Bombyx mori: one gene and its partners. The protein of the gene in region 2 interacts with the protein of the main gene of each other region in a biochemical or structural test. Links are inferred from orthologs where the notes say so. Each region holds a gene or a part of one and is shown on either strand. Other genes may lie near its edges. The genes, in order: anaphase promoting complex subunit 11, Ubcd4 and E3 ubiquitin-protein ligase Nedd-4.

Region 1 (3,758 bases), on a different chromosome or scaffold from region 2:
CAGCTGGTAGATGTCTACCCCCGCGTGTATTATTTACGCGTCATTGCCAAACAAAAATTACGCGTTTGAAACTAAATGATATTTGATTAAGTAGGTGGTAGGACCTCTTGTGAGTCCGCGCGGGTAGGTACCACTACTTCGCCTATTTCTGCCATGAAACAGTAATGCGTTTCGGCTTGAAGGGTGGGGCAGCCGTTGTAACTATACTGAGACCTTAGAACTTATATCTCAACGTGGGTGGCGTATTTAGTTTGTAGATGTCTATGGGCTCCAATAACCACTTAACATCAGGTGGGCTGTGAGCTCGTCCACCCATCGAAGCAACAAGAAAAATTAAAAAAATTAAAAGGACGATTTCGGGGCAAAAAAAATTGCTTGCCATCAACGTATCCTGTCAGGACTTCAGCTTTGATCACATTTCTTTGAAGTGCTGTTAAGCAATATGTGGGACCTTTTTGGTTTATAAACACACCGATGTCGGCATGCAGCACACTAAGCTCCAGAGGGCCTAGAATGGCATCCACTCTCTTCTCGTGAGTTTTGCGAAAGGCAACTCGAAGAATAGACAGCAAGGTTCACAGTTAATTTTTGCTGAGAGATTAATGAGTTGTCACAACCCATTCTGTGACATGACTTCTAAGTCAGTTTTTACAGTACATCGGCTGCTCCACACATCAAATGTTTACATTTTACTGCTTCACAGCAAAAATATGTAGGATGGTGGTCACTATCAGTGCAGGCAGAAACGATGCCCAGTAAAAAAGTATATTATAAATACTGTATATAAAGATTATATTTTAAGAGTATCCCAGTATTTTGGTTTTTTTGGGAGAGATAATTTGCCCTTTGACCAAATTATTTGGTGCCAAAGGCAAATCATCCAGAATCCTTATAGAATATTTTTCCAGAGATTGTTTTCTATCACTACAGATGTTTTGTTAATAATCATTACCTAATATTTATAATTTCAGAGTGGTTTGAACAAATTCAGGTTGTGGGAGTCGAACTACACTGCATCTAATCCCTGCCCAAATACAAATAATGGAAAAGCAGTGAAAATTTTAGCAGTAGGCAGCGGCTTGGCTCTGCCCCTAGCATTGCTGAGGTCCATGGGCGACGGTAACCACTCACCATCAGGTGGGCCGTATGCCCACAGGGGCAATAAAAAAAAAAAGAACATAAGGTAGGCTAATTTCACCAACACATCTAAATTTATCAGTAGTTCATATCGGGGTGAAAGGCTATTTGATTTGAGCGACATTTTTGCAGCTTTATAGCAGAGCCATTTAAAGTTTAAAATTTGAAAAAAAAAACATAATAAAAAAAAAACTTCTTTAGCTTAATTAAAGTTCAATTAAAAAATTATACTGACATCAAATAAAATGCACCTTTAATTACAAAGATAAATATCGAATATTATCTCTTAAACCAAATAATAACCTTTCACCCCTCGTTATTATGATATTTTTGACAATCCCTTGTACAACAATTCACAGAAAACTTTAATAATATTTAATCTGTACTAGCATAGTAGCAACCTTTTGTCTTTAAAACTTAGTACTCTGCTGAATTATGAAAGGAAGGAAACTGTAGAACTCCGTAATCAAAGCTTCAAAGAAAGAAAAATGTTGTGATATTGTCAACTTCATTTATGTTAGATTTGCATTATTCTGACATTAATAATAAAAGTTGCTATTATGTGCAGATCAATCCCTATATTCTATACTACATACCACCTGATTAATAAGTTAAGGTGAGATTTAAACTTGTTATCACTAAACTAAAAATGACTAATAAGGATTTGTGACTCTATAATCATCGAACCATTTAACTACTTATTGAGTTTGAAAACACCAAACAATAAATTTTTCCAAATTATTCTAGCCTTATAGGTTGGTAAACAAAATATAGTTACAAAATGGGACAGCAGTGACACAATAAAGTGTGAGAATAAAAACCTATATTTATTTATTATTTAAACTATATTTTCTTAATTTATGGTATGTACTTACGAATATTTCACTTGTTATTGAACTTCCAGTCTTGTCTGCACATAGGACACTGCTGTTGAGGCTGAGAGTGTAGCCACTTTACGATACAGTGAATGTGGAAACAGTGAGAGCAAGCACCCCAAACTAGAGGGCAGTCGTCCCCAGGTAGTTTGCAGTCTGGACAGCAGCTATCAAATGGCATACGACAAATCCCACAATTGTCGTCGTTTGCTACCCACCTCCAAGTTGCAACCCCTGTCCAACCTAAAATGAATTATCTCGTTACTGTGAATATTTCAATTTCAATCGGTTCTTCCTTGTATGAGGAATTTTTAAGAATTGTGCTCTATGACAATAAGGCACTTAGCAAAAATTACTACTTAATTTACTTTAATGTCAGTGTGTTTTAAGTTGCAAAGAATAAAGTGTAAATTAACCAGGGAAAATAAACATTATGAAAAAAAGAGATTGTGCTTACTTTTTACAGTTACTTTCATAGCGCGATCATGAGGCTAAAATAGAAGTTTTAGATTTATTTAACCTTAAGATCCTTCATAATTAAATTAACGATTTTTATGATATAATATGTTGACTGAACAAATTTTTTTCAGTATTTATCATTTGCCTTTAAGTTTATGTGCTAATTTTAAAAATATAATGTTTATTTTATTAATCTAACCACTGAAGTAAAATCAAGTAAGATCAAATAAATTTGTTTTTAATGTCAGTCATATGTCAGTCTTATCGGCTACTTTATTTTTTGAACTGGAAAAACGAAGGTATCACACCATACAGCGTATTTTTTGTGTATTCTGTGAATTCTGTGTTTTGAAAAACCATAGAGCGAAATGAGATGAAGTTTATTAATTTGAGACAGTAAATCAATTAGGATGTTAATGAAATGAGATGAGATGTGATGAAATATAGTCTCAGTGGAGTGGTGGTTATGCACCAAGACTTTTTGGAAGCTTTTGAGAAGCTACGTCCAGCGAATTTGTTTCATTTTCCCACATTTGTGCACCTTCAGAGATACTAAACAGTTAATAATGTAATATAGTATAATAATAGTGTAATAATCACCGTTATTACACGTTTAAACATGAGCACTACTTTAACAAAATTAACAGAACTTAGCGCCTTGCGTTCCCGCTAAAAAAATTGTCAGATGTTAATTCGAAAATTTTCAAAGTGTAATTTTTATTATTTTATTTCAAAATCTGATAGGCACGGGGATCGATACATGAAACGAAGTCATAAACGAGTACCATATTTTGAAATGATGTTAAGTGAAATAAAAAAAAATTACCAAACTCAATTAAACTACTAAAAATCATTTGAAATAAAAAGAACTAAAAACTAAACAAGGTCTTTAATAAATCACTTTTAAACAATACTAAAAATAGAAATTACACATGTACTGGAACTTCAGTGAAAGAACTGCAAGCGGAAGCAACTTGAAATACGCAAGTACCGGTAAAATGGGGCGATTAGGGACAAATTCCATCTTTATGACCAATTTTAAGGTAGTTGTTGATGTATATAATGCTATATCAGGATCAAAATGATTGAGTCTTGGGAGCATCTTTGTTGTCCAATTTAAAACTATGCAACTAGCATTCCAGTTTAAGCAAAAAAAGCAAAAATAGGTGTAATCCCTATTTACCCGGAAATTGCGGTTAATTGGGACGAAATGAGAAATTTGCTAGGGTGGGCACTACTTGGTTTTAATTTATTTATTTAGTTGCACCAACAAAGTGATCATCAATA
Region 2 (3,758 bases):
CAGATCTATCTGATCCAATAACTCTTGCATTAGATACCTGCAACTCTAACACTAGGAGCAAGTATAGGAACCCTGCTAACCGAACTCATCAAACTCGTCAGAGTTCAAAGTAAATCTACCCTCTATAACATTTAGAGCCTGCTAAATTTCTCGCCAGATCTTCTCAGTGGGGCGCAATTCCGGTCTGGTAGAAGATGAATTCGTGAAGCAATTGCCCTTGAGATGGCAGGTTTTCTTTAGAGGTGCTAAGGCAGTTGTTAGCAAATCCCACTCCTCCTGGCAATTACAACCCTCTTTGTTTTCCCTGCTGTTTATATTTGCAGAAACATAAACATTTGTTCCATTTAGATGTGAGGTGCTAGAAGATCTCAGTGGGCAGCCGTGCAGAAGCTAAAGGTTAGAGAGAGATAAGAAATTGTGCAAGCTTACAATGCAGCAAGTATGCACTTTTAGATATACAAATATGACTAACACAATTACACAATGTGTCATTGTACAGTATATTATTTCAGTACAGAAGGTTAAGAAAAGTAAATGCAAGAGCCCTGGTAATTCAATTTAATGAATGGTATTCCTGAAAAACTCTTAATATGGATCTCAATAAGAAGATAGTTCCAATAATCTACACTATATATAAATAAACAAAAATTGGGCCTTGGTGCTAATGCAGTGCAGATATTTTAAGTAGGAGTAACCTTCTTACTACACATGCTAGCTTTCAGATACAACCTAGGCAGTAAAAGATACTTGCTAATTGGAGAGCACATACTTGCAGGAAGTGCAAAAACTTTGTCTAATGAAAAATTCAGTTTTTGCTGGGTTTGGGCTAGGACTGAGATATTTAATATTCTTAGTCTACACAAACACAGAATCTTATACCTTTAAACAAGCAATTCTTGTATATATATATAATCTGAATCTCGGAAATGGCTCCAACGATTTTTATGAAATTTAGTATACATGGGATTTCAGGGAGCGATAAATCGATCTAGCTAGAATTTATTTTAGGAAATGTTGTTTTACTTGTGTTTTCAATAATCAACTTTATCGATAATCAACTTTATGACTTCCCGACATATATTGGCGAATAATAATACTATTTTTCATAATTGTTTAAAGACACAATAACACTAAAGTTATTTCCACAGATGACGTTGTTAAGCCAACCGAAAGACAATTTATCAAAAAAAAAATTAATACCGAGCAAAGCTCGGTCATCGTCTAGTTCATGTTTATGAGGACAATTACTATTGTAATCAAAATGTGGATTATGAATGCTGTTAGCTTAGTATCGCCTGGATCATGTTCGGTACATTAATGTATTACATGCATTGCACGCAGGTGTGCTCTTACAATTGCAATAAATAAGGCAATCTGTCCATGACAATAGTGCTACAGATATTTAATTTAAAAAAATTCGGTATGTTATGTGTAAATATTGCTACTTGGTAAGCTGAACACATATACAAGGGGATGCTGGTGCCCCACACACAAGTTCTATTTCAATGGCAATCAATAATGAGGGAATAAATCCAAAATAATGTAAAAATACCTGTACTATGTCTGGCTTTTTGGAAGTAAATGGTTGCCTGAAGCCACCAGTGTCATAACTGTGATTTGATAAATAAGCCAAAAATACTTTTGCTTGGGCATAAATCGGATAAAATCTTTTATTTTATTTTAAACACAACTTCAATTACTTATAAAGATCAATGTGGGTAATATAAGTATTGTTTCTATTAAAAACATTGGTAGAAAATATAGAAAACAAAATGTTTACTTTTTCTCGTATGAATCACGAAAAACATTATAGATGTATTTTGAAAAGCTAATTTTACTATTACGAAGCAGTAAAATAATTCCTTTTCGACGAATTAAAAATAGCATTAACGTTTTGAATTTAAACAAAACATGATTTCTACAAGTTTGCTGAATCACGCACACATTGTTCTGAACTGGCTATTTGTTCTTTGTTTTATTATATCGAGACAATCCAACAATTTAGTTTCTTGGGCAATTTAACTATCTAAATAATAATAATGCATTCCAACAAAATATGACATTTTAACAAAAGTGCAAGTAACTCCAGTTCTACATTCTAAACATCAAAACAAATATAAAGTTTAGTTAAATTATTATCCATACCTCTTCACTTTTCATTATCTCTTTGAACTCTCTTTTTATACGTTTGGCTGCTATATTTGCCATTGTTAAAATTCTACTTAATTTTCACTTATTGCTTTACTGGATTCAAAAACGTTTAAAGCGCACGATCGCAGGCGATGAAATAAAGAGATTGATACCAGGATATTCTACCAAAGAGTTTTCAAAAACGTATTCCGAGCAAATGTTTACCACTATATCTGAAATTAAATTCTACCACACCCTGACGTCGAACATAGACTAAAAATATAAATTTGACATTCTCTTCTCACTTACTAACGGTATTACCATATCATTGCAATAATTTTCGGTAGTTTTCTTTCTCTATGAATTTTACTTTCTCTGTATTTCGTTCAGAAATCTCACAGATCACTCAACATTTTGCATGAGATTTTAAAGAGAAACAGACCTCGCATTCGTAAACGCATTTCAATAGGCTTCAAGTCAAGTTGTGTACTGTGGTTGGTTTGAATGTGTGGCAATAATTTTATTACCGTCTGTGATTTCCTATTCGCAATATTAAAATAAAAGTTAATTTAGTTTCGTGATGTTTGCTGTTAATAATAGTGAGTAAGTTTTAGGTCTTATTTTGAGGTATGACCAGTGTTATAAACAGTCTAAGGACGAAGTTATGTTAATTTACTCCCTATGTCACCGGGTTCCACCTATGTACCTGGCGCTTAAAGGTGCGTTGTGATAATGTTTATGTTAAAATTTTGTCTAATGCATGCTAAGTACCTCAATCCAATAGTAGTTTATGTTATGAATTTAAAAATAAATGGTGTTTGAAATAAGAACATGATGCTCTCGCATACATAAATAACTCGTGCAAGGCTATGAAGGGCGCCCGTTGTTCCCGAATACACACTTCATTGTGTACAGTCGTTACCAGTACTTAATAAAATTCTATAAATGATTTACTGAGGATGCTTAACATTATCCAAACAATAAAAATAATGCATTTGTTTACTTAATTACAAGATAAAAGGCGTGTAACTTTATAGAAAACTAATGTAATTCTAACATTTTAGTGTATAAGTAACCAAATTAGACAATCATAATAAAATTAAAAGTGTGCTGTTAAAGGTGTAAAGGTAAAATTCTAACACACAGCAATTGCTTATTACAAATTTAATAAAGTCACTTCAAAAGAATGAGCTATCTTGTTCATCAATAACGAAAATATATTTTTAAGAAGTTATCAACAGTGAGCACTTATGAAAACGGTTCACAATACACACAAAGAACGGAATTCAGAGTAATAAGTAGTCAGTTTCAAACCTAAATACTCTAGTATTAAATGCAAATATTAGACTTAATTCTACATCAATGTCTATTCAAATAGCTAATATAACATGTGAATACTGACATAAAATATATAAGTGTACTGACTACATTGGTGACTAATTATTGCAATTTGAATAAATGTAAAAACATAATAATTTTTGTGGAAAATAATATTTCTTCTGTTGAATTTTGTTCAAATGCTCACACAACAATTACTAAATAAAATACCTATAGAATTAGTAATTAATTTGATATGCATCCATGTTATTTGTTTAGATAAGTCATCTTGTGTTAAGTAGTTTCTGGAG
Region 3 (3,658 bases), on a different chromosome or scaffold from region 2:
CCCATCAAAGCAATAAAAAAAAAACTCTTCAAACCGAATTTATTGATTTAGTCTCAGTTGTAACGTTATATATTACAATTTATTAATGTATTTCTGTCCGTCTGTTGTTAACACGTTGACTGTCGTGTAGGTCACAGGTGCCCTACGCGGCGCACTGAAGTAATTATTTCGATTTTTGTCGCCAAGCGTCTGGATTGCCTAACTTTGCCTTCTTTTGTTTTTAATGCAATTTTTAGTCTTTTAGGCTTCTTAGGAATAGATTCATTTTCAATATCTATAGATTCGTCATTCCCAGAGTCTACTAGATATTCCGGCGTCTTAGTAAGAAGATCGAAGAGAAAAATCTACATAATTAGTTCAGTGAGTCAGGTAGAGCACCGGTGACCTACATAGCAGTCCACATGTTAATTATATACCGGAGCTCATAGACATCACTACATAACCGTCAAAAGCCTCTGTTAGACATGATGACTAAGTCTCAATAGTATTTATTTTTATTTTATTATTTTTTGTGGTAATAGGTTAACAAAGATTAATAGGTTATTATTAATATATGTATCACTATGTCCTGCTAGTAAAGCGTACAAATATTAGTTGTAAGTATAATCTACATAAAAATATTAAACATAAATTATAATAATTTAACTCTATTCTACTTTATCATCTAAGTTATCTAATGTTATCGTCTAAATATTCTGACATAGTATAGCAATTTTCGCTTAAAATCTTGTAAATCTACCGTCTACGAAAATTTTTATAGGTAGTTTTATTAAATATTCTTGTTGACATACTAAAAAAACTCTTGTCATGAAGGGCAGTTTAATAAGTATAACGGTTGGCCCACCCTTCGCTTCGAAACTCATTACTGATTGGCGATTGACAGGGTGATTCTCCCAGTGAGGGCTCACAAGGCAACCACCAGAGAAATACTAAGCCGTGCAAACACACTAACACAAAATAGAGAAAAAAACGGCTGATAGCTTCGCTAAAAGCCGAAGAGATCGAACGAGTTCTGTCTTGCAGCGGGTGGATCATTATGCAACAAGTAAGTAGTATAATCTCATCAGAGCGTACCTTGATCCACATCAGAGAGTTGTAGTATTCCAAGTCCACGGACTCCATGTCGTGTAGATCGATGGCTTTACCCAGCATCATCTTGTAGAACGGTCGAATGAAGAACGCTGAAGAGATAGATACATCATTCGTTAATATTGTTTCCTTACACCATAAAGGTTTTAGAGCTAGACCCACGTCTAGCAGCCGGGGTCAGGGCACCGAGATGCAATTTGAGACACGGATTAGAGCACATTATCTAATTCAGTGAAGTACCTAACGTACTCTTTACAAAATCGCGACACTCAAGTGAAGGTACATTTATGTTACTGTAAATCATTAATATTGGATAAAACAGTTCTATATTAGCGGTACTCAGGTCCTTACCTGAAAACGGGAATAATACGGACCCTGGCGGGCTCAATAGACGCACGCGAGCTCGAGTTTGTCGCGAAAATTTAAACGTAAGGCCCTTTTCGCTACAAAAGGGCTAGTGCGAGCTGGCGACTCACCATCCAGGAGCTTCCCGTGGTACACGGCCATGCCCGCCACGCGGCCGATGAACTTGAAGTAGTTGAGGTGCTCCTCGTTGCACACGCCGCTGTTCGGGTTGATCTGCAGCGTGTAGTTGTCCATGGCGGAGTACTCGAACAGGCCGTAGTACGGATTGAACATCTCCTTCGACAGCAGGAAGAACCACTCGCGGGCAAGGCCGCCGTAGTCTGCGCACCAATCGCACACTTTAGTTAGCATTTTTAGTATGTTGAAGATTTCGCGTCAGCTGCATGAGCGTCAGGGAAAATTCCGCAGGTGGATTCCCTGTTTTTTTCTAATGAAATACATACTTAACCCCTTTCCCAAAAATGACTTCCTCTTTAAAAAAATAGAGAAGAGGAGGAAACCAGGGTTGTCACAGTTTACTCACCTAGCCCCACTTCGGATTCGAACTCGACCCACAGCTTAGTCTTAAGCAGATCCAGCCGGCTAACCGAACTGATGATGCGGTACGAGTCTTCCAATATCGAGTTCCGACGCACTTTTATCTCGAATTTGTTTGGCACGTTGTTCTGTAAACAAATAGTAGGGACTTCAATATAAACCCATTTATTCACAAGTACCTTTTATTACATTTTGGAGAGCTCTCGCGTGACGGTACTATATGTGCCGCTGCCAAAGACATTCTTTTCAATATTTTATTACTGCCCATGGGCGGACGTGTTTACAACCCATCTGCTGTTAAATTAAGCACATAGCTTTACCTGCCTTGATACATGTATATATATCTTCATTTCTATTTTTTTTAACAATTTTGTGTGTTAGTGAAAGTACACAAGCCTACATCTTTTTTAATTGAGATTATTATTATCGTTCTTCGACATCAGCTATGTCAGAAGCATTGTACGCATAATTGACGACCTAATAACATTGTCAATGTCATAGACTGTGCTATTCAAAAGACTTACAGGCTTACGAAGTTGACTCTTAAGGTATTCGTATTTCCGTTTGTAATCTCTCGAGTAAGGCACGGCCGGTCCAGCGATTTGAGGGTTGGAGAGGCGAGGGTCCTCCCATTGTGTGGTACGCGTATCTGAGGAACGTGTTCGACGTCATGAGACTGCCTTGAGTCGTTTTCACCAAGTTCTTAGTGCATTGCAATAATGTATATTTTGCTAGATCACCCAAAGCGCTTGGTTGTACAGTATGCAGTGATAGACCGAAGGTTGTTAAGGACGAGGACATTCAGGTCGCGTCTAGTTAAGTTCTTATAGCCTTGAGAGGCTATTTCAGCTTCACCTTAACGTGTAGGTGAGCTCACGGGGCTCAAGCCGAAGTGTTGCTAATACTGACCCTAGCAAGAGCAGTGCTTCGCAAAATCTACCACCAGATCGGAAACGCGACCCACTGAGAAGATCCGGCGAGAAACTCAGTGGGCTGTGTGTGGGTTAATTTACTCGTCGAGCCCTTCACCGCAAGCGACGGGTTCGACGAGAACGGTGACCGGGACAATTCATAAAGACATGTATATAATACAAGTTAGATTTAGTTACATTAACAACCGGCTCAACCGCATGATACCTGTTGGTAAGTAGCCCCTCAGAGACCTCTCAGAGAACAATTCTCCAGTAATCTATACTAATATATAAATCCACAGTGGTTTTTACGGATGTTCCGTTATAACTACTGAACCGTGCATCCGATAAAACAGAAAGAAGAAAATACATGTACTTAATGGATAGGGTAATATTTATATGAGTGTTGGACTCCCTACACCAATTGCGGGGACGTTAATGATGAGAATCTTTGTGGAGTGAGAAATAATAAGGATCATTTTAAATGGCCAGCGAAGCGGACGGGTACAGCTATTTAGATATAAATGTAGACAAGTTAAATATCGCGAACAGACTCACTGTGGTCGATGAAGAATATCCTGCCGTCGGTGTGGACGCGCTCCTCCCAGCCCTCGGGCAGGGCGCCGAGCTCGTCCCCGTCCCCCGCGCCCCCCGCACCGCCCGCCTCCGCGCTGGGCAGGCTGGACGCGCAACCTGACGCCCCAAACACACTGCAGTGAATCACGCAACACAATACCCTGTTCAGCTGTGATCAG

The links.
Region 1: the proteins of Ubcd4 (region 2) and anaphase promoting complex subunit 11 form a complex in vitro, tested with the Homo sapiens proteins (3 studies listed by BioGRID). The link is inferred for Bombyx mori from reciprocal best matches to the Homo sapiens genes UBE2K and ANAPC11.
Region 3: the proteins of Ubcd4 (region 2) and E3 ubiquitin-protein ligase Nedd-4 form a complex in vitro, tested with the Homo sapiens proteins (2 studies listed by BioGRID). The link is inferred for Bombyx mori from reciprocal best matches to the Homo sapiens genes UBE2K and NEDD4L.

Annotation. Positions count from the first base shown.
Region 1 is NC_085118.1:13,747,553-13,751,310, reverse strand, and holds the start of anaphase promoting complex subunit 11, read right to left. Parts: upstream 2,671-3,758; 5' UTR 2,489-2,670; coding exon 2,470-2,488; intron 2,460-2,469; exon of another isoform or gene 2,256-2,459; coding exon 2,020-2,255; 3' UTR 2,013-2,019; exon of another isoform or gene 972-2,012; intron 1-971. UniProt on the Homo sapiens protein: Together with the cullin protein ANAPC2, constitutes the catalytic component of the anaphase promoting complex/cyclosome (APC/C), a cell cycle-regulated E3 ubiquitin ligase that controls progression through mitosis and the G1 phase of the cell cycle.
Region 2 is NC_085107.1:6,308,195-6,311,952, reverse strand, and holds the start of Ubcd4 (ubiquitin conjugating enzyme 4), read right to left. Parts: upstream 2,209-3,758; coding exon 2,146-2,208; intron 1-2,145. UniProt on the Homo sapiens protein: Accepts ubiquitin from the E1 complex and catalyzes its covalent attachment to other proteins. In vitro, in the presence or in the absence of BRCA1-BARD1 E3 ubiquitin-protein ligase complex, catalyzes the synthesis of 'Lys-48'-linked polyubiquitin chains.
Region 3 is NC_085125.1:1,983,983-1,987,640, reverse strand, and holds part of E3 ubiquitin-protein ligase Nedd-4, read right to left. Parts: intron 3,597-3,658; coding exon 3,462-3,596; intron 2,642-3,461; coding exon 2,517-2,641; intron 2,121-2,516; coding exon 1,979-2,120; intron 1,776-1,978; coding exon 1,566-1,775; intron 1,182-1,565; coding exon 1,075-1,181; intron 1-1,074. UniProt on the Homo sapiens protein: E3 ubiquitin-protein ligase that mediates the polyubiquitination of lysine and cysteine residues on target proteins and is thereby implicated in the regulation of various signaling pathways including autophagy, innate immunity or DNA repair.